Coturnix japonica: one gene and its partners. The protein of the gene in region 6 purifies or fractionates together with the protein of the main gene of each other region. This does not show direct contact. Links are inferred from orthologs where the notes say so. Each region holds a gene or a part of one and is shown on either strand. Other genes may lie near its edges.

The links.
Region 1: the proteins of BTRC (region 6) and ZNF704 purify together in Homo sapiens (affinity purification with mass spectrometry; 3 studies listed by BioGRID and IntAct, counting the BioPlex papers as one, with this or other methods). This does not show direct contact. The link is inferred for Coturnix japonica from reciprocal best matches to the Homo sapiens genes BTRC and ZNF704.
Region 2: the proteins of BTRC (region 6) and USP37 purify together in Homo sapiens (affinity purification with western blotting; 3 studies listed by BioGRID and IntAct, counting the BioPlex papers as one, with this or other methods). This does not show direct contact. The link is inferred for Coturnix japonica from reciprocal best matches to the Homo sapiens genes BTRC and USP37.
Region 3: the proteins of BTRC (region 6) and RIPK4 purify together in Homo sapiens (affinity purification with mass spectrometry; 4 studies listed by BioGRID, with this or other methods). This does not show direct contact. The link is inferred for Coturnix japonica from reciprocal best matches to the Homo sapiens genes BTRC and RIPK4.
Region 4: the proteins of BTRC (region 6) and BHLHE40 purify together in Homo sapiens (affinity purification with mass spectrometry; 3 studies listed by BioGRID and IntAct, counting the BioPlex papers as one, with this or other methods). This does not show direct contact. The link is inferred for Coturnix japonica from reciprocal best matches to the Homo sapiens genes BTRC and BHLHE40.
Region 5: the proteins of BTRC (region 6) and NUAK2 purify together in Homo sapiens (co-immunoprecipitation; 3 studies listed by BioGRID and IntAct, counting the BioPlex papers as one, with this or other methods). This does not show direct contact. The link is inferred for Coturnix japonica from reciprocal best matches to the Homo sapiens genes BTRC and NUAK2.
Region 7: the proteins of BTRC (region 6) and EEF2K purify together in Homo sapiens (affinity purification with western blotting; 4 studies listed by BioGRID and IntAct, with this or other methods). This does not show direct contact. The link is inferred for Coturnix japonica from reciprocal best matches to the Homo sapiens genes BTRC and EEF2K.

Annotation. Positions count from the first base shown.
Region 1 is NC_029517.1:109,697,281-109,700,780, reverse strand, and holds part of ZNF704 (zinc finger protein 704), read left to right. Parts: intron 1-106; coding exon 107-211; intron 212-2,631; coding exon 2,632-2,726; intron 2,727-3,500.
Region 2 is NC_029522.1:24,228,754-24,232,253, forward strand, and holds part of USP37 (ubiquitin carboxyl-terminal hydrolase 37), read right to left. Parts: intron 3,468-3,500; coding exon 3,303-3,467; intron 2,030-3,302; coding exon 1,964-2,029; intron 806-1,963; coding exon 655-805; intron 1-654. UniProt on the Homo sapiens protein: Deubiquitinase that plays a role in different processes including cell cycle regulation, DNA replication or DNA damage response.
Region 3 is NC_029516.1:98,228,089-98,231,578, forward strand, and holds the end of RIPK4 (receptor-interacting serine/threonine-protein kinase 4), read right to left. Parts: intron 3,326-3,490; coding exon 3,073-3,325; intron 2,305-3,072; coding exon 1,127-2,304; 3' UTR 501-1,126; downstream 1-500.
Region 4 is NC_029527.1:15,937,690-15,941,732, reverse strand, and holds the start of BHLHE40 (class E basic helix-loop-helix protein 40), read right to left. Parts: upstream 2,801-4,043; 5' UTR 2,540-2,800; coding exon 2,460-2,539; intron 2,364-2,459; coding exon 2,294-2,363; intron 1,955-2,293; coding exon 1,847-1,954; intron 1,507-1,846; coding exon 1,383-1,506; intron 599-1,382; coding exon 1-598. UniProt on the Homo sapiens protein: Transcriptional repressor involved in the regulation of the circadian rhythm by negatively regulating the activity of the clock genes and clock-controlled genes.
Region 5 is NC_029541.1:2,385,387-2,388,886, forward strand, and holds part of NUAK2 (NUAK family SNF1-like kinase 2), read right to left. Parts: intron 3,334-3,500; coding exon 3,268-3,333; intron 2,602-3,267; coding exon 2,482-2,601; intron 2,230-2,481; coding exon 2,097-2,229; intron 2,018-2,096; coding exon 876-2,017; 3' UTR 1-875. UniProt on the Homo sapiens protein: Stress-activated kinase involved in tolerance to glucose starvation. Induces cell-cell detachment by increasing F-actin conversion to G-actin. Expression is induced by CD95 or TNF-alpha, via NF-kappa-B.
Region 6 is NC_029521.1:20,074,910-20,079,080, forward strand, and holds the start of BTRC (F-box/WD repeat-containing protein 1A), read right to left. Parts: upstream 2,801-4,171; 5' UTR 2,701-2,800; coding exon 2,653-2,700; intron 1-2,652. UniProt on the Homo sapiens protein: Substrate recognition component of a SCF (SKP1-CUL1-F-box protein) E3 ubiquitin-protein ligase complex which mediates the ubiquitination and subsequent proteasomal degradation of target proteins. Recognizes and binds to phosphorylated target proteins.
Region 7 is NC_029529.1:8,312,019-8,315,518, forward strand, and holds part of EEF2K (eukaryotic elongation factor 2 kinase), read left to right. Parts: intron 1-204; coding exon 205-305; intron 306-1,464; coding exon 1,465-1,525; intron 1,526-2,133; coding exon 2,134-2,171; intron 2,172-3,500. UniProt on the Homo sapiens protein: Threonine kinase that regulates protein synthesis by controlling the rate of peptide chain elongation.

The DNA of each region.
Region 1 (3,500 bases), on a different chromosome or scaffold from region 6:
TCTGTAACTCTCTTGCAGATTCACAGTTTCAAGAAGTAAAAGATCCCTTGACGTGCTTTGGAAAGTGAATGGTTCTTTACTAGAATCATATTTTCTTTTCAAACAGGCCACTCCTCCGGTGAACATTCCAGGGTCGACTAAATTCACTCCCAATGGCAGCAGCTTTAGCATCTCTTGGCAGTCGCCTCCAGTTACCTTCACTGGCATTCCAGTAAGTGGATGATTAAAAAAAAAAGAAGAAAAAAAATAGTTTTTTGTGTGTTTTCACAGTATCTCATAACAGTAGTAATTTTGACATAACAAGTTAAATTATAGCCCAGTTCGCTTGCTTGACTGATTGTAGCCCTCCTGCCAGTCTCTTAAATGCAATACAGTGATTTTTGTCTTTTGGGGTTTTGTTTTGGTGACCACAAGCAGAGAACTGGACTTGACAGCATGCTTTTAAAGTACCTGCTTACAAAAGAACTTCCTGGTAGGTGCAGAGCCCGTCACTGCGTGCTTGTTTTTCTGCCACTGAGAGATCGCTTATGAGGCCAGAGAAAAAATGAACAAGGCAGTGGTTATGTTAACATGGTAATCGGATTGAAGCAGTAGGGCTGTTACCAAAGTGAACCCTGAAGATGAATTGTTGAAAAGCAACAGAAGGAATGAAGTGTGAAGTCTGACCCCAGTAGGGTACAGGGATGTATCCTCTACTGACAGCAGAAAATTGTGTGGCTTCGCACAAAAGATGTATTTAATGCGCTAAATATTTTCACTATTAGTTTTGATGTTAATACATGCTGCAGCATGACGAGTTTTTAATGAAGCATTAGATGCAAGGTCAGCTCTGGCTCTTTCTTCCAATAGATAATAGAACTGCAGAAGTTGGTTGGTTGCTGAAACGTAGATTTGCAGTAGTCCTAAATGTAAAGCAGTGCAGGTGTGGGTACTGTAGGGGGAGGTCAAAACCTTAATGAAAGCTTCAGAGGGATTAGGTGTCTGGTGCCTAGCATGGTGAGTGCTCGGGTTAAACGTAGTCACAGAATCACAGAATTATCAAGGTTGGAAAAGACCTAGAAGATCGTCTAGTCCAACCATTAGATCATCTAGTCCAGCCATTTGAAGTTTGAACTTGAAGTCGCTGCCTTCAAGTAATGGAAGATCTTCTGTGTAAGAAGGAGAAATAAATATATGTAAAATTTATTCTAATTTTTACTGGAAAGCATTTTTTGCTATAAATTAGGATTCCCTGATCATAAACTCCCTTCATATGATAGTTTCATTTAATATGATAGTATTAATATTAATACAATAGCTTCATTTAATATCGTGCTTTCTGAATTTTTACAACATGCCGCATAAATACACGTTGCTCATTCAAAGAACCATACAGCTTTTTTTCCTACTACCAGTGAATATTGGGCATGGTGATAACAGACGCTGTTTCCCTCCCTTTTCTTCACCAAGTGAATCTCCAACGCTTCTTAATGTCAACCTTTGGCAAATCTTGGAGATTTTCTCAGCCTGTGGTATCCTGCAGGTCTGATAAAAAACCAAAGTGGCTGAATCAATTACGCCGTGCTCTGCCAATGAATATGTATTAAGTTCTATCAAGGAACAACTCGCAGTGAAAGACATCACGCTGTCAGCAATTTGAACAAGAGCGCCTTGACAGAGCGTGCTTTCTGCGAAGTTCCTCGAGTATTTGATTTCACAACAATGGGGTTGATACAGAGCAATTACAAAACTGGCTCCTTCTGTGGAATAGCAGAAATCGGTGCCAGTAGTGTTGGGAATCTAAAAGTGCAATTATCCACACTGTAAATCAGACTCATAAGAGGACAGGATTAGACATGTGTGTTGAGTTTACTTGCTCAAGCAACAATGTTGAGCTCGAGCTTTAGAGCTGACACTTCTTAAGGAATTTAAGAGATGCCAAATGGCTTTCAGAGAACTGTGTGAAGATGCCAGTGATTTAGGTACAATTCAGAAATAATCCCAGTGCAAAAACCTTGGGAAGTGCTGATGGTTGCAGAGTAATAAAGCACTCTGGGAACCACATGATTTGATTTTCATGTGTCTGCTACATAGGTAGTAGTAGTGCCTCCTGTTTATTTCCATGGAAACTCCAACAGATACAAAGGGCACAATAACACTGGTTGATAGAGCACGTTCTCAGGTACAAAACACAGTTTTTCAACACAGTCACCACCATTAGCTGTACATTCTTGCCAGCCATGAACAAGAGCCTTCGTGAATCAACACGGAGGTGATCCAGTGTCAGAGTTCTTAAAAAGAATGAATGCATGCATTTGCTGCGTTCCCCCAGACCTGAAGTGATGCTGCTCTGTACTCCAGTTTACTCTGCTTGGGTGACTAGACATACAGAAAAGCAACATGGAGCTACTATTGTGTATATATTTACACCTTCAGCTTTGTCAGACCTCCAGGTTATTCGTGTTTGTATGCTAGATACTGATTTCTCCTTGGTATGTCAGCCATTGTGTATTACAAATTACTTCTTCTGGAAGCAGTTCTACCTGTTTGCACCAAACAAAGCAGTGTTGCTGCCATTGACTTAAAGGTGTGTTTCTATTGCCTTCACGTCTGCATGCAGTTCATAAATGACCTTTTTGTCTGTATTGACAGGTCTCACCAACTCACAGTCGTCCTGCCGGGAGTGGGGAGCAGAAGCAGTCCCACACAGTTCTTTCCTCACCACCCAGAGTAGCGTTTGGATTGAGGTACGGGACCATTGGCTCCTGCTGACAGACCAGCAGCTTCAGACCTTGGGGGGTGTTCTGGGGAAGAATGAGTTGTCGAGGAGTGAAGAGGGCACAAACTGAAGGAGAACTGCAGGTCTTATGCCAGGTAGATGTGAAGTTCAAATGCCCAGTTTGACTCTCGGATCATTGCACATGCTACAAATGGAACTCAGGATGTTCCCAATCTGTAGACTGTGCCCATTGTCAGTAATGAAGAAACACGTATATATGCAGGAGAATAATCACAAGGCAGATCCTGTGTGCCAGGCCGTATCTCATGCTGGTATTAAACAGTTGTGTCTGTACACGCACCTGATTTAAGGACTCTGGGTCTGGAGGCACTGCTGCACTGAGCACTGGGTCGTTCCTTGTAGCACTGCTCCTTAAGTTTGCTACGTGTTGAGTAGAAAAGTTCCGTTTTAACAGTTTAATCATTTTCTGCACTTGTCTTTTGAGCTTTAAGTATGGTGCTAGGATGGAGCACACGACAATCACAATGGCATTAAAAGCAGGTATTGCCTGCTTTGCTGGCTTCAGGGAGGAAAAGAGCACATGAACACGTTGCAGCTGAGGGCTGAAACTTGTTTTTAATTGCCTGGATGTTGTTCAGTGTGTGAGCTCAGCAAACCACACAGGAAGGATGTACAAACTTAGGAGCTGGCAGCTCTTCCCCTCTTTTGCATAGCTGCTGCATGCTTACAGTCAAGGTCTGCTGCTCTGAACTGTGCGAGGTATTTGTAGTGCAGTGCTACA
Region 2 (3,500 bases), on a different chromosome or scaffold from region 6:
TTAGTGCCTTCAGCCTGCTTTATACTGAACCACCCCTCCTATTTTTAGGCAGTTTCTCAGATCATTCTAACTGTACTTCTGAGCTTCGGCACACTTGTAGTCCTTCCCAGCTCTGTCTTCTGGAAATTCAATACTCATTATTTTATCATTTATTATATATATCACACGGATCAGGATCCTCTCGTTAGATGAGAAACTGCAGGTATCCACCTCTTTGCATGTTTTTATTCAGCCACAAGAACTTCTCTCAACTGACTATTTTGTCTTGCCCAATGCATACTAGCTCTAATTTAATCAAGGGCTTCGCTGCGTAATTTTATTATTGACACTCCATTACAATTCTGTATGGAAAAGTCATTAGTGAAAGCTGCCCAAAGGACCAGCAAAACTGCCAAGCAGCTGGTATACACACCCCCACAAGTGCAGTTACAACACAATTACCTCTGTTCCCAGTGGGAACCCAAGACAATTGTAGAGAGGTCAATTAGCTGGCATGGCAAAACACACCCTTTTAGCATCACTGCACTAATTAGGAATGAAAACATCTTACATCAATTTCATTATGCTAAGGAAAACACAGGCAAGCCACAAGTACTTACAGCTCCTTTGCATACTGAAGTTTGTACTTTTTTTCTCCCCCCCCCCCCCCCTTACCTTTTCTGGCTCTTCTTGAGGCTGTTGCTGATCTCTAAACTGTATGTTGCACACCCTTTGGGTATTGGCAACAGAGCGTTTCAGGGGCTCATCGTCACTGTCTGAATCCACATAGAGAGCTGCAGAGCTCTTTGATTTTAAAGTATACTTCCTGTAAATTAAAAAGCACAGCTATAGAACTTCAAAGCACTGCACAAATCCGTTTCATAGTAATCAATGAATAACTGCTACAGCAGATTTTCAGGCTGTGGGGAGATACAATTTAGGGAACAAGCTGCAAGTGTTGAAAATAGAAATTTACCAACATGCAGGCAATAAATAAACACTTCATAGCTTGTTTACCCCACAGCCTACCAAGGGTTGCTTTTCTCTTTCACAAGACACCTGTTACACGATGTAGCACAATCGCTACAGAATTACACAAGCCAAGAGCCAGCACTTCATCACACAGCAGTCCTGGACAGCATTCATTTGAGACAAGGCCACAATAACAGGTAGAACTCAGCAGAAACCATTTACTTGACTCCTGAAGTTTACAAAGCTGGACGCAAGACTTGTCACATCAATACTAGGATATACTCACATTAATACTAGGATAGAAAGTTGCAAGTCTGCATAATTTTTTGTTTTCCAAAACAAAAAAAGCTCCTTCACTGGAATAAATCCTTGTTTCTTTAGAGCAGAAGATGAGAGACTTTGAGTCTGAGATACGTCCTCAATTAGGAAATTTGTTCTACATGCATTCCACAATGTGAAACTCACCAGTGCAATTTCACATTTCCCACTATGTCAAAAACTGGCCTCTCAGGCCATAATCACATCCTCCCACCTTTACAAACAAGCTCAAGGAGCCAACCACCTGTTTCCTAACCTCATTGCAGCTCCATAAATAAAAACAGGGAAAAAAGGAGTCAGACTGAAGAATTAGAAAACAAGTTGTTTCTTATATGTGTGGTTTGTGACAATGAATGCAAGGCGGTTTAAAATACTTGGCACTGACCCATTATCTGCACAAACAAAACGCAGCTCTCATCAAACCTTCTCCATGAAAAAATTCTTCTTTGCTTTCTTTTGAGTTCCCAAAGGTTCTCAAGAGAAACGCTAACAGGACTGTGTCAATTAGGCAGATGGTAGCATTAACATTTCTTTCAGCTAACACTTAACACCAATAAAGCTCAGATATCAAAAAACAGCACCGAAAACAACTTACACAACAGACAGCACAGACAAAGAACTATGCAATTCCAAAGTGTCTCAAAAGCCATGCCATGAAATGCCAGGCCAAGAGCATTTCAAAACTTTCACTCACCTACAAGGTGTAGAAGTGCTTACAGTACAGGAATTCACCATTTGGGAGGCTTTCAGGGGACGGGAGCTATTACAAAAGCAAAGTATTTATCGCAGCAGTTAGTCTTTAAAACAATATATGTTTACATGTCTGCTGTGCATGCAAATCCATGTTCAAAGCAGCAAGTAGAATACCATTACGTGCTTGCTAATTGCTTGTTTTTAGAGTAAGAACTCCACGATAGCATAAATATACACCAGCAGTTCAAAACCAGATGTAATCCTTTAAATTTGCACTTCTTAGCGATGCACCCTTAGGGACAAGCTCTCAAATCAAAGGCGTTGGACTCCCACGCCAAGGGAACTCTTTCCTCTTTCCCTGGTTCCCAGCAACACTTGAGTTCCTGCTCCCAAACCACAGTCTCTTGCTGCTGCCTGGATTAGCTGGTTTTCTGGCACATCCCACATCTCCATTTCTCCTCTAGATCTTCTAAGCAAATCTCCTGCTCCATTTGATCCTTTTATGGACTCCCTGAAGTCCATTGCTACCACTACACCCATCGAACACATGGTTACCAACACAGGAACCATTTCCATCATTCTCTTCAAAGCAAGGCAATTTCTCCCCAGCTTTGTCACCTTTTCACTGTTTGGGTTAATCAAAATGGTTTCAACAATTACCAAACGGGCAACCATTGAAAAGCCATTTAAAATATGTTTTAAAGCATGCCTGCATTGGTTAGCTTAAACTTTTCATTATGTTTAGGAGGTGAAGATTTCTAGTCTTAATGCAAAACCTTAAGAAGCCTCGAGGTAAATCTCAAACTCCACTAAGTATCCAGCAAAAGACCACGTGCTGTATTGCTGAACAGATACCAGATGTATTCTATCTCACTACATTTACAGCATGTCAGAAGGCAACGCAAGGCAAGAGACCTAAGGGATTTCTGTTTCTTATTCTGACACATTTGTGTGACTTCTGCTACTTTTAATCTCTGTGTCTCAGGACAAGCAGCTGTACCAAAATAACTGCCCTAGGGAAGAGTATTTTCAACACATGAAGTGCTCAGATACTGTAGTAGCACAGTAAAGACAATGAAAAATGAATGACATTGTGAAGTGTGCAAGTGGAAATTAACAGAAAAAGGAATGATGTCACGCTTTCTCAGCAGAATTAAGCATGCTGCAAACAAAAAGAAACCTAGATGTTGTACCAAGAGGCTAGATTAAATATCTTGCACCTGAGGCTGCATAATTTTGATGGTTCTTTATGCAGACGTCAGATGGAGTAGATCTGACAACTGACAACCTCACTGTGGGTGCATAACACAGCATGGGCAGAACCTAGGCTGTACACTTACATTGCAGAATGGGCACTCCAGCCCAGCGTCAGTGGCAGCCTGGTGCTTTCTGTACAGTGTGAAAGCAGGGTTAAGTATCTTGGAATAACCACCTGCTGCCCAACTTTATGATTGAGAGACAACTCTACATTGAAGCTGTATCGTTTCAGATGAAGAATCAGAACCCTGAAAAATATGAGAGAAATACAAAATCGCAAC
Region 3 (3,490 bases), on a different chromosome or scaffold from region 6:
GCTTTGCATGAAGATGGGAAAAGAAAACCAACATGACAAAATACAGGGCAGATATGGAACACAATATTTTTATTAATAATGTGCCACATTCGGACCTTGACAAGAGTGAAATTAAAAGGTGTATTAAAACATACCCACTCTACACAATCTATTTTCTTCAGTAGAAAAAAAGCATACAACAGATAGAAATACTATATACACAGTATATCAATCTAGGCAACACACAGTTCATTCTCCCAGGACATGTACTGTGGCATGGCTGGTATGGCTCTCTAACATGTCCCTACAAACATCACTTTGCAAATAGATTTAATGGTGTTAGAATATACCATCCAGTTACAGTCCAGAATGATTTTATTGTTGTTGTTTGGCTTTTTAAGGGAAACCACTAAGAACACAGTTCAGCTCACTGATCTTAAAATGCATAGAAGATGGTACTGCATATGAAGACATCAGTGTTAAGCTTTTACTTCTGCTCATGTAGCTTTTGGATCCTTGTTAATGACAGTCTGCCTTATTCATCTTGATTACATGGAAAACTGTAATCAGTGTATCTCCATTAAACAGAATACCTTCTGAAAACGAAACTTAGCCAGGGTTTGTGATTAACAGTATCTTGAATAGCTCTTTCTTCATCTCTTGCATTCACTTCCAGCAGATCTGTGTTAGGTTTATTTTACTTTGGAGGCTTCAAGCCCAAAATATAGATCACTGCAATAAACCAGGGACCTAATCCATCCTTTTTCTGAGGAAAATCAGAATATTAGTCCTTAAATTAGTTTGTCAAAAAAAAAGCAAGGGGAACCCACAAGTTGCACCCTACTCTCACAACGTCTGTGTGGGAAGGGAATATCACTATACAGGTGGGGCAGGCACGCGCAGAGTGGATGATCCAGACCACAGTGTGGTGGGCTTCAGCTCTTAACCTTGCTTTTGGCTTTAGTCCATGTGCTCCCTCTCTCACACACTCAAACATGAGTAGCTCCTTGCTGGTTGCCCCTCAGTCCATCTGCTGACGCTGCTGGTGAGCAGGTCACTGCACGGCTGGACAAGGCTCTTGTAAATCAAGTTCCAGCAACCTTCTCACCACACCAGGCAGAAAGATAGCAAGTACCGTACCTTTTGATTAAGTCTTACTTAACAACACAGTAACTGAGCTATTGCTGCCCTGCTGAGTAAGCCGGAGCAGGGTCTGAAATGTGGGTCTCTGCAGATCAGTGAGTGCCCCATGCTTTAGAAGAACCTCAACTGTTTTTGTGTGCCCTCCTCTTGCAGCCAGATGAAGAGCTGTCAACCCCTCGTCGTCAAAAATATTGATGTTTCCTGAACTGACAAGTTCTTCTACTACTTCAGAGTGCCCATTTTCTGCAGCAAGATGCAACGCTGTCCTATTTAATGGGCCTCTGGCAAGAACATTGGCCCCTTCATCCATCAGCAACTTCGTTGTTGCTAAATGGCCGCTGCGAGATGCCAAGTGCAGAGCAGTACATCCTTCCGCTGTTGCTGCCTCAATGTCTGCACCATGTTTAAGAAGCAGCCTGGATGTGCTTGTGTGGCCAGTTTCAGCAGCTATGTGGAGAGCAGTCTGCGAGAGTGCATTCGGTACGTTGACATCTGACTCCAGGTCTATGAGAAGGCGAGCGACACGGTAGTGACCTCGCTGAGCAGCCAAGTGTAGCGAGGTCCTTCCATCCACGGTCTGCACATTTACATTTGCACCTGGCTGTTTGGCCAGAAGCTTCACGATGGGAAGATGACCTTGCCAGGCAGCATAGTGCAAAGGGACCCAGTCATCCTTTCCTTTGATGTTCACGTTAACGCCTCTTCTCAGCAGAATCCGCACAATATTCTCTTGGCCATACTGACAGGCTATGTGGATGGGGGCCCTGCCTTCAAAATCTACCTCGTTCAAGGATGCATTCTTATCAAGCAGCATTTTGGTGCTGAAATCATCCCCATTTTGGGCAGCAAAGTGAAGAGCAGTCCACTGATCCTCATCTTTGGCATTAACATTGATTTTCCTTGCCATGAGCAGCTCCACGATGCTTTTAATTTTCTTCTCAATGGCTATGTGAAGAGGGGTGGATCCTTTCTTGTTGGTGAGGTTTGGGTTAGCATTGTAAAGGAGAAGCCATTTGACACATTCTTCTTGACCAGCTTCAACAGCTAAGTGCAAAAGACTGCAGTTCCCATCTAAAACAATGTCAACGTCTTGAGGCTGGAGGATCTTCATCAGCTTGCTCGTGTCACCAGCTAAAATGGCTTCTGTTAGCTTCCTTTTCTGTATGTCCGTAGTACCTACATCTAGACGGAAAAAAACAACATCACAATGCTGATTCTTGCCAACCCTTACTCATCCCTGGCTAGCACAGCTGGTGGCTTCAGTAGTGTCTTCTGACTGCAAAAAAAAAAGCCTCCCTCTCCCACTGCTGTACCTGCAGGAGTTTCAGAGCCAGTTTACATCACATTTGGAACCCACACTTCCTCTTATTCTGTCTCCAGTGAAACTAAGAACAAACGAAGCTGCAAGTTTGTTTCCCTACAGTTATCATGCTTTGCCTACATGGAAAAGAGGTGCCTATTTTATGCAGTACATATTGAAAAGGGAGGGGATCTCCAGGGGGGTCTTTATTACAATGTTCCTGGGGCTGCTGAGAAAACTGCTGAAATCTTCTCAAAAGACAGGTGCTCACATTTGGGCTCAGTATTAACTGCAAAAGCTACAAGCTCCTGTACTGGCACTGGCTTTAGTCCCACTCTGACCAGGGCACTAGACAAGATGATCTCCTTTCTAATCAACATTTCCACAACCAATTCTGTAATTGTTTTGATGGGAATTCAGGTACCTTCTTTTCAAAAGCAAATTAAATGTATTATTACTCACTATATTGTGCTTGGGAATCTCTTTATTTTATTTTTTAATAGCTGCCACCAGCAAACAAATTTGCAGTTAGGACAACAGGACATACTACTCTTCACACAGTCACTCTCCAACCCATAAGCTCCCATGCACCAGTCCAAACAATCACAGAAACAGAAAAATCAACAATAAAAAAACATCCTGACCATTACCTGAACTCTCTCTTTCAAAGGAAAGGGAAAGGGAGCCTCTGGATGAAAAAGCTGAATCTACAGACGAAACTCCTGAAAGCCGCTTGTCACTGGCAGCAAGTTTGGATTCAGAAGAGCTGCGGCTGAGATCCTCAGGGCCCTCCATAGTCTGTGAAATCCCTGAATCCAGCTGGGACAACAATTCTGATAGACTGTAATCCTTAACTGATGCCAGAACAGGCTCCTTTTTCGGCTGAGATAATGCAGACATCCCCTTCAAGAGAAACACACAGAAGTATTTTAGAAAGGTCAGTAAGGAAAACTGAGTATGACCCTCTACAAGAAGCAGCCTAATTCTATTAGCTTGCAGGCAGCTTTAAGCACTGTACTTATCCAACAAAATCTGTCTGAAGAACCTGGTTGTTTGTTTATTTGATTG
Region 4 (4,043 bases), on a different chromosome or scaffold from region 6:
ATGGGCAGGTAGGCAGTGGCGGATGGTGGGATCAGGTAGAAGGGCAGGCACAAGGGGGGCTGGTGGGCGTGGGGGGGCAGGAAGCCGCCCGCAGTGCCCATCACCTCGTTGCCAAAGGGGCTGTCGTCATCAGGCACCTCCAGCCTGCTCCTCTTGGCCGGAGGGTCCTCGCTCTCTTGCTTGATGGAGCTGATCCTCTCCTGGACGGCGTATTTCAGTTCGGTATCCTTTGGGAAATAGGGCTGCTCCGGTTTGGAGTCGTTTTTCTCCAGCTCCCCCCCATAGCCGCTGTCCGTGTCTGTGTCGCTGCCGCTCTGCTCCCCGCTGGAGGCAGCGAATGTCCTTTGGATGACGGGCACACAGTTCTGCCCGCGCCCCTCGCCCGCTTTGCCCCCCGGCACCGTCTTCTCCTTCAGGTCCTTGGGGCTGCCCGGCAGCAGCTCGGCCGCCACGCGGTGCAGGTGCCCCACCAGCTGCGCTGCCTTCAGCTCCTTGTTGTCGTGCTTGGCCACGTACTGCAGCAGCTCCTTGGCGCACAGCTGGAAGCCAGAGCGGAACATCTCCTGGCTGGAGTCGAGGTTCCTCGCGGACAGGTCACCTGAGGAAACATTAACAGGGAGAAATTAAAAATTAACAGCACGCCAAATACTTCCATCACCACCTCCAGGCTGACAGCACGCGTCCGGTACAACACAGCCAGCACAGCAAACTCAGTGGCCAACCTGAGTTCCCACAACTTATGCGCCAGAATCCAACCTGCTACTTTCACATCCCTCCATTCACTTCTACCCGTGCCCTTCATCTTTCAATTCTGCATTTGGCACTTCCACTGGGGAACAAGCAGACAGTGCATCCCACACCCAGCAGGACCCCTCAATGCCACGCTGTGCCCCCACTGCCAATGGGTCTCCCCTGGTGCTGTCCCTGCAGGGCAGTGGCACCTCGTTGGCCAAGCTCAGTTTGACTTTATCAGAGCCATGTGAATGCCACGTGTGCAAGCAGCAGGAGGAAGCAGAGGGAGCGAGCAGCCACTGTGCTGAGCCCCGTCCACCTGCAGAATGAGGGAACACAGATCTGCACACGGACAGCGGGTGTTTGTGTGCTCTGGGGGAAAAGGAAAGCGCAGAACCAGGATCCAAAGCTCATGAATGGAGAGAGCTGAACGACTTTGGAGAGGGCATCACAGCAAAGCTGCGCTTTAAATAAAACTACTTCAAATCCACTTTAAAATGAAAGCGACCGCACAGCACGCCTGGCTCCGACCCCATGGAGAGCTGCACTTGCTCTGCACAAGCAAAGCGAGAGAAACTGATGGCAATCAAAGGGCAGAGGCTCAGGCATCCCTTCCCCGCGCAGTGTCCCCGCACGCTGCACTCACGCACCTGCCTGCAGCCCGCTCTGCAGCGCCAGGATCTTCTGCTGCTGCTGCTCCGTCAGCGCCGTCAGCGCCTTCAGGTGCTTCAGGGTCAGCTCCAGCACCACCGCCTTCTCCAGGTGACCGAGGGTCTGCGGGCAGAGCACACAACGCGTTGGACGCTGCGGGGGTGGGGGTGGAAATAGGCGCTGGGAGACATTCCCACGGCAAAGGTGGGGGCGATTTGGGGCAGGGACTCGGGGGCAGCGCTGCTAATTGGGGAAGGCACAAGTCGTGCTTCCTGTGAACAGAAATATCCGGAATTTGGACGGAACACACAGAGAGCAGCCGCGGGGCAGCCCCCGGCCCCACATCCCGGGGGTATTTGGGGACGCCCAACCCCGAGCACAGCTCCGTGCCTCGGCGCTGCTGCCCCCGCCGGCATCGCGCGCTCAACGCAGGGCCGGGCCCGGAGCCCCGTTGTGCCCGTACCGTCAGCTTGAGGTGCTCGGGCAGCAGGTCCTTGAGCTGGGCGATGCACTCGTTGATCCTGTCGCGGCGCTTCTTCTCTATCAGCCTGTGGGGCAGCTTGTAGGTATCCTGTAAGGAGCGGCGGGTCAGCGCTCCGCACCCACCCTCCGTCTTTTTGCCTTCTTTCCTTTTTTTCCCCCTTCCCAAATAATCGCTAAACCCACCACGCATTCCACCCTCTGTTCTTTTTTCCTTTTCCTTTTGCTTTCCCCCCCCCTCCCCACCCAAATACTCACGCACCCCCTCCGCCCCCCACCCCGCAGCATTTCTTTTTTATTTCCCCCAGAATTACCCAGTGGAGGCCCCTTCCCCCCTTCCCGCATCACCCCACAGAAGCTCAGCTCTCTTTCTCACTCCCCCCCATCCCAACGATCGCTGACCCCCGCCCCGCACCGCCCACCCCGTTACCTTGCTGTCCTCGCTCCTCTTTAACCCCCTCCTGGGCTTGTACACTTGGTACATGTGCGCGAAGTCCAGCCTGCACGGGCGAAACGAAAGCAGCGAGGTTACCCCTGTCCCCGGGGCCGCGGCGGGGGGACGCTCTCGTGTCGTCCTGTCCCCCCCGCAGCCTTACCCCGGCACATCGGCGCTCTCCAGGGCGGGCAGTTTGCCCAGGCACACGGGCGGGGGCTGCGCGCTGGGGATGCGCTCCATGGGGGCGCGGAGCGGAGCGGTGCCGCGGGAGCCGGGAGGAGCGGAGCGGTGCGGTGCGGTGCGGAGCTCAGCGCGGGCAGCTCATGCCGCGTCCCCGCCTCGCCGGCTGAGGAGCGGAGGGAGGCGGAGGGCCGGGTTAAATGCGGCCGAGTGGGTGGACGGCGGCGACGTGCGTTACCCTGTGACTCCCGGCACGTCTGGCCGGGCTCCCCCCCCCGCTCCCTCCCTCCCTCCATCGCCGTCACATGAGGCTCACGTGTCGGCGAGCGGCGGCCTTCCTCCCCCCGCCCGCTCCGCCGTGCAACGTGCCGGGGGGGGGTGGAGGCGGGGCGGCCGGTCCGTGGCCCCGGGTGGCCCCGACCCCGGTTGCTTCCCGGCCGCCCCTCGGGCTCTGCCCCGCCGTCCCGCAGCGGAGCGGGGCAGGAGCTCGGCACCCGACTCCCGTTCTTCAACACTCCCGCGGCGCGTCGGTAATCCCCGCTGCCGGAGCCCTTTGGCTGCTCCCTTCTCTCCGAGCCGTCCCGAGGCTCGGGGTTTACTCATGACCTTAAGGGATGTTGCCAAGGATTTTGGAGTCCCCCTAAAAAGAGGATCCGAGTGGAGCGATGGCATTCCTGGGCGGCAAGTGGGATGGCGGAGAGTTGGGTTACATTGTCCTCCCTATGATCAGCTTTCATAAGCTGGGGCTGATGCAATCAGCAATTTGTCTCCGAGATTTTGTTTGCTGAATTATTTCTGCGCAGAAATGCATACATACAGGGCGTACAGAATGCAGCAAAGAGGCCAAATTTCCTGCAGTCACGGGTCTGAGGTGCTGTCCCAGGAGAGGAGCAGACAGTGCCCAGCAGTGATCTGCACTTATCTACAGACCCCCCAGAAGCCAAGGGCTCGCAGTTCGGGCTCAAGTTGTACTGAGGGCTCGGAGATGGTGATTTGGGGCAAAACACTGTGAAATCCCAACAGCAGCATCGGATAGAGCCCGTGTGGGCAGCTCGGAGTTAGCAGCTGGGCTGCGGCTTCAGCCTCACGATAAGGTTACTGCGGGTGGTTTTGTTTTAAAATGTCCCTTACTTAATATATCCACGAAGGCCAGGCATGTGCCTGTGGCCTGGAATCAGATAGCTGACTCCTCTGCTCTCTCATTTCCAGCAATCTCGTTTTGGGTTACCAGCACCGGAGGTTAAAGGACGGCCGCAGGCGAAGGTTATGCAGGGCAGCAGCGCTTCGGCTCGGCACCCAGCGGGCACCCGATGGGCATCCCCAGAGCCCTCCTACTGAACACACCCCCACCCTCCCAGCAGCCTGCAGGTGGTGACCAAAGCTCGGACTGAGCCTTGAAAACACACTGCCCAGAGCTGTGGTGCCCCATCCCTGGAGGTGCCCAAGACCATGGGTGGGCCCTGGGCAGCTTGAGCTGGGGGGCAGCCAGCCTGTGGCAGGGGTGGGGGCTGGGTGACCTGTATGGTTCCATCCAACCCAACCATTGCATTAATCTGTGATGGTG
Region 5 (3,500 bases), on a different chromosome or scaffold from region 6:
ACAGTGCAATGGGGCTGCAGCACAGCCACAAACACCCACAAGAAGGGGGGGGGGAGGGTTGATATTGAGCTCGGCAAATCCAGTGCTGATGAAGTTTTACATTAACTCGGACACGAGGCAATAAATAAAGAAGCAGTGCCTTAGAAAAGGCTCTTTTTTAACTTTCCTTACACCATGAAAAATAGACATCAGAGCCCATTTCCAGACTGTGTTGTGGGGCAGCTCTGGGTTTCCTGCAGCCTCAGCTCATTGCCATCACAGTGCATGTTCTCTTCCAGTTGGTGCTTCATTCCAGTCGATGCTTCATTCCAGTTGGGTTTCTTAGAGCAGCAGAAGGATGGGGCTGCACCCCATTACCAGCAAACCCCAGCCTGCAGCCAGGACAGCCTCCCATCCATTCCTTGCTACATCTCCAGTTGTTTGAGGTATATTACCTGCCCCATCCGTTATCATGTGCAGCCAAAAATAAAACAGTGCAAAGAACCACCCCCCATCCCAACCCATTTCATCCCTCCCATGAGATGAACCTGTTTGAATGGAGGGACAGTGTGGTGCCATGGAGAGCACTTCTTCCCCTTAGCAGGAGCTGGAGGGGGGGGGCAATGGGGCAGCATAGGGCTTTGGTCCTTTTATCACCCCCTCCTCTCTGAGATATGCCCTAAGAGCATCCCCCTCCCCACCCCACAACCCAATCCCTGTGTGCATCCAACCTCCTATGGGAGGCTGCAAAATAAATAGGGGGGGGGGGGGACACAGGGCAGCCCCCTCTATGGACACAAGGAAGCCCTGGGGAAGGGGGAACTTGTGCCCCCCTATCCCCACAGCAGGGGCCATCCCAAGCTAAGGGACCCCATCCCTATAACCGTAGGCTACCCTCAGCTCAGCTTCATGTTGATGGCCATGGCACGTCGATACACCTCGGTGACGTTATCACAGCTCTCCAAAGAGAAGCGGCTCTCCCCCAATGTACTGGGGCAGTGTGTTACAGTCCAGCGGCGCAGCCTGCGCCCTTCATCCACCTCCTCCTCCTCCTCCAAGCGTAGGAGGCTGTCAGCAGAGACGCAGCCCCTCATGGCCCCACTGCTGCTGCCCGGGGGGATACGTGGGGGGAGGTCGAGCTGCTCAAAGGATTCAGTGGAGAGGATGCTGTCCTCGCTCACAGCGCTGGGTGGGCGAGGGCGGGGGGCAAGGGGGGCTTTGGGCAAGGGCACCTCATCAAAGCATCCAAAGCTCTGCCTGGGGGAGCTGTGGGGCTCAGCATTGCTGGAGTATTTGCTGTTGTGTTTGAGGATGCCCTTCCGGCTGCTGGGGAGGACAGGGGGGCCCTGCTCAGTGGTGGGACTGTCAGCAAACGCGTTGCCCTCAAGGTCCAAGCTCCCTGCATCCAGGACGTCTCCAGATTCACTGCATTCCAGAGATGAGTAATACCCTGATTCCCTCTTTGGGGGCTTTTTTAGGATTCCCTTCTTGGGCACAGCCACAGGGACAACATTGCTGCCCTCACTGCCCCCCAGCACTGCAGAGGGTAGCGCTGGGCTCAGCCCCACAGCAGTCACATCCCCATCTTCACTCTTCACCTCTCCCCCAGGAGCTGTTGGCGGAGGGACGGGCACCTTCTGCTCGCAGGAATTCCTCTTCTTCAAGATGCCCTTGGGCCGCTTGAGGATGGACTTGGAGGGGTTCTCAGGAGCTGCAGCCCCCTCCTGCAGTGCATGGGAGACATCGTTCTCCTTCTTGGACTTCTTAAGGGAGCGCTGCCGCTCCAGGGCCACGCCAGGGATGTGCTGCTTGAAGAAGCACCTCAGTTTGGAGCCATTCTCAAAGAGGGGTCGGGATGAGCACCGTAACCACTCAGCCACTGTGGCCAATGGGGATTCATTGCTCTCCCGCAGCAGCTCCTGCTCTCCGACGGGCACACGGTAGCCCCAGTTGACCCACCAGTGTGTGGCAATGTCCTCAATGGTGGCACGGCGCTCCGGGTTCACCATCAGCATCCACCGGATCAACCCACAGGCTTCTGGAGGAGACAGGAAGGTCAGGTATCAGGAGAGCACAGGTTGGAGGGTGGAATGCATGGGGAGGTGGGGTCTGCCTACCTGACAGCTTCGTGGGCTCCCGGTAGTCACCATTGGTGATCTGCTTGACCAGGGTCTTGTAGTCATGGCCGTCAAAGGGCATCGTGCCATGGACCAGGATGTAGAGGAGGACACCGAGGGACCAGCTGTCCACCTGCAGGAAGGATGGGGACATTGGGGTGAAGGCAGCAGGACCAGGCCACCACCCCAGGACATGACATAGGGCAAGACCACCCCCAGCTGCCTCCAGCCAAACACAACACCCAGTTAACACATTGCTCTGCCTCAGGGAACTCCTACCCCAAAGAAGTCTCTGCCATCCTGGCTCCCATATAGATAGAACACCCAGAGCTGCCCCAAGTCCAAGCTGAGAGGCAGTGAGACCAACTCACAGGGTACCACGTACCTCTGGGCCTTTGTAGGGCCGTCCATTGATGATTTCAGGTGACGCATAGAGGGGACTACCACAGTATGTCTGCAGGAATTTGTCCTGCTGGTAAACATTGGACAGGCCAAAGTCTGCAATCTGGAGAGAAACAAAGAATCATCATAGAATCGCTTAGGTTGGAAGGGTTCACCACCTGAAGCTGTGGAGCTGTGTCCAGGTGTGACCAGAGCAGTAGCACAGGGCTCTCCTCTGGTTTACCTACATGAGGTTGATCAGCACCTATCAGCTCTGCTAATATGTGGGCACTCATTATGCTCAGGACAGCCACCACTTTGGGACTGTGCCTTCTGCTCCCTATGACACCATCACCCACTGCACAGATAAAGCCCCATCCCTTTATCTCCAACCACTCTGACCCAGGAGGGAGGCACTGCCATGGGGTGAAGCAGCACCTGGCTGCCCCGTGCTTATGGCAATTGAGACTTTCACTAAGAAACCACTTCTTCCCCAGTGTGTCTTGTTTTGAAGCCTGCTTCAGACTTTGCCCTCTTATCAGCAGAGAGATAAACACTGATGGCTTTAACTCTGACGTTCTCCTTCTGCAGCCTCTCCCTTTCACAGCTGCAGATCACAGGGGCAGCCCCATGATCCCCATCTCTCAGCCTTGCTCTCTCATTCCAGGCCATAAGGACCACGTGTCCTAGGGGGAATATGGCATCACAGCCCCCCCCCCCATGTGCCAGCATCCCTGAGCTCTTTGTTGAGTGAACCCCAATGTACGGCCATAGGCCAACAGCCCCTCACCTTGATGTTCCCATTGGCATCAAGGAGGATGTTCTCCAGCTTCAAGTCCCTGTGAACGATCCCATTCTGTAAGAGGGGAAGAGAGGTGGGTTGAGCTCACACAGGATGTTTGAGGAAGGGAAAGGCAGCACAGGGAGGTCACTGCCGTTCACAGTGGCGACAGAATGGGCGTTCACAGCAGTGACAGCAAAGAGATAGCAGCAAATAAGTCCGGGTGCTTGCACGAGGATGGG
Region 6 (4,171 bases):
GAACGTGTGATAGAAAACAGCCCTTCGCCAGCAGATACAGCCCTCCCTGTGAGCAGCTGCCCAGTATTGCATAGTGCTTATCCACCACAGCTGAATATCAGGAATAAATTAGGCCTTCTTGAAACAGAGAGGTAAACTGAGTATGTGAATGAAGTTAAATACATTACTTAAAGCTGAAAGTATCAGAAGACGTGTATGGTGGCTGAACACACACTGGTAGCAGATATTACCTGAATGCAGCACTGTTTTATCAGTGAGTAATGGAGACACTAGTGGCCAGGGAGAATAATGAGATTTTAGGCTCATTGAAAAGTTACACACACACACCAGCATCCAGAACCTTGTCTGGATTTACCTTGAAGGTAATGAATATAGACACATTAAAAAATAAATAGCCCCTTTTAAGGCAAGATAATGTCATTTATAAGGTTAGCACTGGACAAAGATTCCATGTGACGTTTTTCTCTGAGTGTCAGACATGAAATCAGCAGGTCTGACTTGCCTGATACCTTGTGACTCAGGAGCACTGCGCAAAGTCACTGCCAAAAATGAGGCACTCGCATGAAGTGGAAAATGTATTATTTTCTAGAGGAGCCCCAAAATAACACCACCTACAGGGCTGCTCTTCAACACAAAATGAAACCCAGCACAAATTCACATCAGAAACAGCACCACCAAAAAAGCTGGAGAGATAATAGATCACACACCTACAGATGTTTGAATATTCATCTGTGGTGAGATACATCAGCTCTGGGGAGGTCTCAGGGAAAAGTCTCTAATTAACAGCAAAGCCCACCTCAACCCAAAGCAGAGCTCTTCAGGGAAGGGAGCAGCACACAAAGTGCATCACACACTCGATGAACAGGGTAATATGCTGTGAATGATTCAGCATTAGCTGAGGATCCACTACCTCCATGCAGTAGGTAGCACTGCCACTGCTGCAGTACCTAAGCACTTCCTGAGTGCTGTCAGACTGAAATAACAGGAGACTTCCCAGCAGCATTGAGCTGCCAATTACAACAGGACCTCATTTATTGGAACAACCTACCTGCATACACCTCCACCGACAGCAAATGGAGAACAGGGAAAGCCCACACCAAGTCTGACAAAAACTCTTCATCAACATAATTAAAATGAGAGATGTACTACACAGATTAATGTCGAAGCAAAAGCCTGAGATGTGGTATAAATATATAAATATAAACAAAAGCTTTTATCACTCTCAACCCATACAAATACACGTACACCTCAAAAGTTCAAGGGGATCAGAGGGAAGCTCCCTCTTTCACTGCAATTTTGCATGTACTTTGCTTTCAAGAGGCACTTTAATAAAACATTAAGGAACTTGGTTTAGCTTTTAGCTCTCAGCAAAGCCTGATCCTCAATAATTCTTCCCTTTATCTGGAGCCCTTACCAGATGCAGCTCTCCTAAGAGCAGCTCTCTCTCATGCTCAGGTCTCTCCTCAGCATCAGGGAGTTTTATTGTTCGGGTGGCACACTGCCAGCTGTGAGATGGGCAGGGATTCCCTCAGGTCCCAGGCCCAACCTTATGGAAGATCTCAAATGCCAGGAACTAAGCTATTCACTGGGAACTGAAGCACAGAATGACAAATGCAACACATGAGATGTCAGGGCAGCACACAGGAACACTTGAAGATATGGAAGCCACAATGTAGGTTAAGGCTGCCATCACCCAGCTTGGCCCAACATGAGCACAGCAGGCTCAGGGACACTCCTCTGGCCAACTGCACACCCAAGAAGGTGGTTCATTATTACTAATTGCTACCTTTCCTTTTAAGGTACCCATAGCATTTTCTCACTTCACTGAGCAGAGACCCTATAAATCTGCCAGACTACAGGGCTAGCAGCAAAAAGGTCACCAAACCACAAGAGAAACAAGTTCTACGGGATTAAAAAAGCAGAATTCAAACAAATGTTGCAAAGCTCAATTAAAAAGAAAACATTTGCAAGCAGCACTTCCTCGATTTCACTTGGGCATAAGTTTAATAGAATCGCTTCCTTCTGATGAGCTCAGATTCAGGTCTGTAGGACTGTAAGGCCAACACTAAGTCAACTTTCACCAGGTGCTGCCAAGTACTTCGATGGCTTCCATAGGGAAAGGCCAGTTTTGGGCACACAAAACTGACATTGCATTCAGATGGTACCGGAGTGTACCATATCAACAACTGAAGTCAAAAAAGAATTAAGTTCAAGTGTGTAAAGCCTCACATGTAGGTAAAGGTGCAGAGCATCTGGGCTGCAATCACCCCCAGAGCTGCCTGCCATGCCAAAGAGCGGCCCAGCAGCCCAGGCCGCGCATCCACCATCACTGCAACGCAGCAGAAGGTGAGAGCGGAGTGTCAGCGCGCACAGCTCCGAGCACAGGGCGGAAAGGAACACGGCACACAGCTGCCGGGGGCCGGGGCTCAGCACAGCACAGCCTCAAGTACACGAACGAAGGCAATAACACGACAACCCCACGCGTTCCATCCCCCCCCGCAGCCCCCCGCCCCGCTCGGCTCCCCCTCCCGTCCCCCAACAGCACTTGAACCCCCCGCGGCCCAGGACACCCCGCCCCGCCCCCGCCCCGCCGTGCTCCCCCCGGCCCAGCCCCGCACACAGGTGCCCCCTCGGCTCCCCGCGGCCTCTCACCATGAACTTGATCGCCTTCTCCTGCAGCACGGCCTCGGCAGGGTCCATATCCTCCCGCGGGGCCGCCCCTCCTCGCAGTGCCAGGCCGCAGCCAGCGCCGACACCAACCTGCGCTGCCCCGCGCTCACACCCCCCCCCCACCCCACGCCTCACCCCCGCTACCAACAAAGCGCATGCGCTGCCCGCGGGCCCACGGGAAATGGAGTCCCTCGCCGCGCCGCCGGAGAGGGCCTGAGGGGTGGGAGAGAACTACAAATCCCGGAGGGCTGTGCGGCCACGGGTATGCCGGGAGCAGGGTGACGCACGCGGCGTCAGTGGGCGAGAGGGCTGATGGGAGTTGTAGTACGGAGGAGGTTGTGGCGGTGTAACAGGAGGGCAGGGGCGGAATAGAGGCCGCTGTGTGCGGGGGGGATGGGCCCCTTTCATAAGGACATATGGGCTGTGATACCCGATGGATGTAACAGGCCCGGGCATCACCCAGAATGTGCTGGAAACCAGTGCTGCAAACCCTGCCCACCATTATGTAAATAACAGTAATGATAATGAGAGAGCCCTATAATCGCAAAGGGACACCGCTGTCCTCTGGGCTGATTTGTGAATGTGGTCTTTAAGGTGAGTTCTCAGGATCATACAAAGCACAGGCTCATAGTGGAGCCATAACTGCAATGGCTGATTAAGGACTGGAGTCATCCTTGTGTTAACTAGACTGAACGCCTTGGACAAGAAGAGACCAGCTCAGCTCTCCTCAGCAGAACATTATGGACCCACAATACAGAGCAGAGGGACAGGAGAGGTCTGTACGCACCCCAGGACACCAGCACCCACACCCCAGGACAACCCACAGAGCACCAAGAAATAACGTGGGTTTACAAGAAGTTAAATAACAATTTATTTGGATCACAAGAACCTAGAGCTGTACACATAGTCAGTTCTGCCTCACCCACTGGCAGCTCCTCTCAATCTCTCTTAAAACACCAACCATACATCCCCTCCCTGCACTCCACATCCTTCCTGCAGAGCACGAAGCCAGCCACACACCGCACAGGGAGCTCCCGGTCCTTCCAGATGAAGGATGCTACCTAACGGTAAAGATATTACTGTGATTATTTTTGCACTAGCATATTGCTCTGTGCATTTCGGGCTCTGTGGACCACATCCACGCCTGGTGTAACGCCATGTTAATTTGCTGTGGCAATCATTAATTGGGTAAGGAACAGCTGGTGCTTTGCTTTAAGTGAAGCTGATTGGGTCAGTAAGTAACTGTTTGGGTAAAGGATGTACAGCAGGTAGAGCTTTGCCTCTGTCTGTGCTCCAGAGGGGTTTCACTTCTTGTCCCAGTGACCCTTGGAGGAAGCGATAAGATTTGGCCATGAAACATTAGGGAACTTTAATCAGTGCAGCTCCTCTGGGCATTTTTGCCTGAATTTTAATATTTTGAATAATAAAGGATGATTTTAAATTAAATTTGTGGGCTCACCATCTGTGTGTGCTTGGCCTTGTTTTCCTCTGCTTTGGCAGT
Region 7 (3,500 bases), on a different chromosome or scaffold from region 6:
GTAATCTTCTGTACCAAATACAGAGAAAGGGAAATAAAATGATGGAGGAAGTCTGCCATGTCCTGCTCCTGCTGTCACCAGTGCTGTGGGAAGTTGTGCAGCTGTACCTCCTTGTAACATTGAGATCCTAGTGTGCCCTAGAAAATACCCTTTTCATGGGCTGCTGCTGACTGTAAATAATTCACTGGTTTGCAACTCCTTCAGGAAACCTGGAAACATGCTATTGAAAAAGCAAAGCACATGCCTGATCCTTGGGCAGAATTTCATCTTGAGGACATCGAGACAGAACACGCCACTCGCTACAGGTCTGGGGTTTTTTTGCTCTTAATGCTGAAATGAAACAGAATCTGATGTCTTATGCAGGGCCTGTGAAATGTGGTGTAGAGTGTGTGTTCAAAGTGAACGTCTTAACCAAACCTCCCAGAGGTACATAAATACTGCATGCAGTCAGAAAATGAAACCTTTCAGCAAGACACTGTCTTGTTCTTCTCCCTCTACCACCTGAGCAGTTTCACTATGCGGATAGGAAACAAGAATTTTCTGATTACCTTATTAATTATGAAAACTTAATCTAATAAGGAAATAAATTCCAATAAACAAGCAGATTTTTTGCAGTGTTTTATATTTATGTTGCAAGTATTTAAATAGCTTAGGAAAAAAATGATACTCTGTGCCTTTCCCAAAATAACAGTTTCATTGTTGCTTACCCATGCAGTATTGCTGTGGAATTTACATCCTTACAAAGCCCAGAATAGCTCAGCATGGTGTACGTGCTGAAACCCAGTCTGGCCTGTGAGCTATTCTCAGTGCTTTAGGCCTTGCCAAAACATTTACCCTACTGACACAGGTTTCTAGGAGGAATGGGTAGGAGTTAGAGACCAGTTAATGACCCCTGAGCATCAGTGTTTGGGGAGGCCTCATTCCTATCACATGACACTGTCACTCTGCACTCTCCTTCCCCACAGACTGCATTGGGTTTTACTGTATTGGGAGTTATGGGGGTGAGGAGAAACTGGAGTCATGGTTCGTATTACTGTGGGGTTATGCAGAGACTTGCTCCCCTCGTGATGCAGCGTTGTGCCCCTCTGCTTGTCACAGCCATAGCCTGTAGAGGTTGGTAGAGCTCTTTGTGCCCCCAGTGAGCTGCCATCGCAGAGGAGATTTACTACCAAAGTAGATGAGGCCTATTTTGCATCATTACAAAACTCATGCTTTGGTAGCAGAGTCTGTTTACTGTCCATAGTATGCAGCGTCCATTTGAAGAGGGATAATTTTTTTCTTTCTCATCTGGAAGACTAACCATGTAAGGAGGGCAGGAGCACGGTGGGAAGACTGGAAGTTGTACTGAGTGGCAGCAGGACTTTCAAGCAATTAATTAGAGATGAGGAAGTACAGGTAGTGAAGGTGGGAGGATTTTGGTTTGTTCTGCATTATTTTTAAGAAGCACAACTTCTGGGTTTGCAGGTACAATGCAGTTACTGGAGACTGGGTTGAAGATGAAGTTCTCATCAAGATGGCTTCACAAGTAAGACCATGCTGCCCTTTGTGTTTATTAGCCCTCAAATTTATCATTTCCTTGTTATTATTGACTAGTGGCAGCAGGATTTTTTTCTCACATAAAAGCTTTGATTCTTCTTTTCTCCTTTCTTTTCTGTTCTGGCTCACCCATTATGTTTTGGGATCCTAGCACACTTTTCTTCCCCCAGAAGAGTAGAATGTGGAGTCAGGCCTTCCCCACCAGCACTGTAAGAGCCATTTGATTCTTTTCCCATCTCAGATGGGAAGAGATCTCTGTCCCATCTCAGCGCTCCCATTTCCTGCTGGCCTTATCTCTGCCTGGCAGTAGGCCTACTTATTTTCACTATGTGGGGATAGAAGCTACTGAAACTTGGCAGTTAAATCCTGTGATTAGGGATGAGCTGGAATCACCTTGCTCTCTGTGCTTCTTTTCCCCAAATTATTGTCTTTAGTGGCTGGTGGGTTTCCAGTTTTCCTTGAGGGTATAGAAATGCTATGGACCCTATTTGAGAAGTACTCCAGAGTATAAGGGGGGAGGCACTGTTGTGTCTCTTACTGGTTAGAAATTAACTTTGTGAAAATGACAGTGATGGGTTTGTTTATTTCTTTTCCCAGCCCTTTGGCCGTGGAGCAATGCGAGAATGTTTCAGAACGTAAGTGTTTGTTGGCTTTATCTTTATTGCAGTATTTTCCTCTGTGGTGACTGGAGTTTCTCACAGATGTGACATCTATGTAAAGTGCAGCTCCCCATTGGATCCCTGCTTTGTATTTCTAAAAGGCATTACTAAGGGGTTTACTTCTGTTTATGCAACTCCAACCACAGCACAGGGAGTGGGATTCAGAATGCAGATCATTCTCTTAGGGAAAATGCAAGGAAGTGCAATGTAGGTATCCAGTGAGCTTGCTTTAGAAAGCCAACCCATAGCCTCTACTGGAACCACAGCAGCATGGATAACGTGCAGTTGTGCCTGGCTCTAGCAAGTCTAATCATTCTAGCAATTAGAAATTTGTAAATTCGTGCTATTTTAACCATCTCTTGGAGGTGAAATACTCATAAAAATACAGAAGCTGCAGCTTTGTTTCATTTTTATTGGGTTCTAAATGTGCCATAGTATCTTTAAATTCAGTGTGGCTGTGTGCGCAGTCTGAAGGCCATCTTCAGGCCCTTATTTGGGCACAGAAAAAAGGGGAAGAATAGTTGAGCTCATGCAGTGTCAACTCAGAATGCCTTCCTAGGTAAAGAAGTCTGTCCTCACGGAGTTTCCTTTGGATCATGTGTACCAGACATCTTGTCCTGAGTAAGACAGAGCTTGAACGTTAGCAGTTATTCATTCCAGAACAGTGAAGTGTGAGGGAAGGCAAGAGGAACTATTTTGTTGCCTTCTGAATATTAGGAAATATGTGTGTGGGCATCAGCATCTAGGTGTAAATGAGTCCGTGCCAGAAGAGTGCCCTGTTCTTTCAGTTTCTGGTTATGACTTTCCTGGAAAACATACGTGTGCACTTTTAGGTTTTGTCTCTTCGTTCCAGCTGCAGAATCTAAAGAGGCTGCATTTCATGTCTGGTTTCATTTCTAGGAAGAGAAGCTCCTGAGTTTCAAAAACAACTTGAGGAAAAAAGGGGCAGAGTAACCTCTCAGTCATTCAGTTTTTCATTGTTTTGGAATGGATTCATGCTGGTGGCTCTGTGCTTGCAGAGACACGTAGATAAGAGCAGTAAAGAAGCCTAGGAAGTAACAAATCTTAATCTGCTGACACTGCTTTTAGTTTGTATTTCTGCATGACCAAGTTTCACATTAGGGGATATCTTGAGTAGTGACAGAAACAGATTTATCTTTGCAGCTTAACCTATTGTACAAAGAAAATGTAATTTATGTGCCATCTCCCTGGTCCTAAATCTTCTATAAATCTCTGTGATGCACTGATAATTCCCATCTGGAGTTCTGTAGATTTATACAAGTCTTTCTTCATTACAGTGACAGC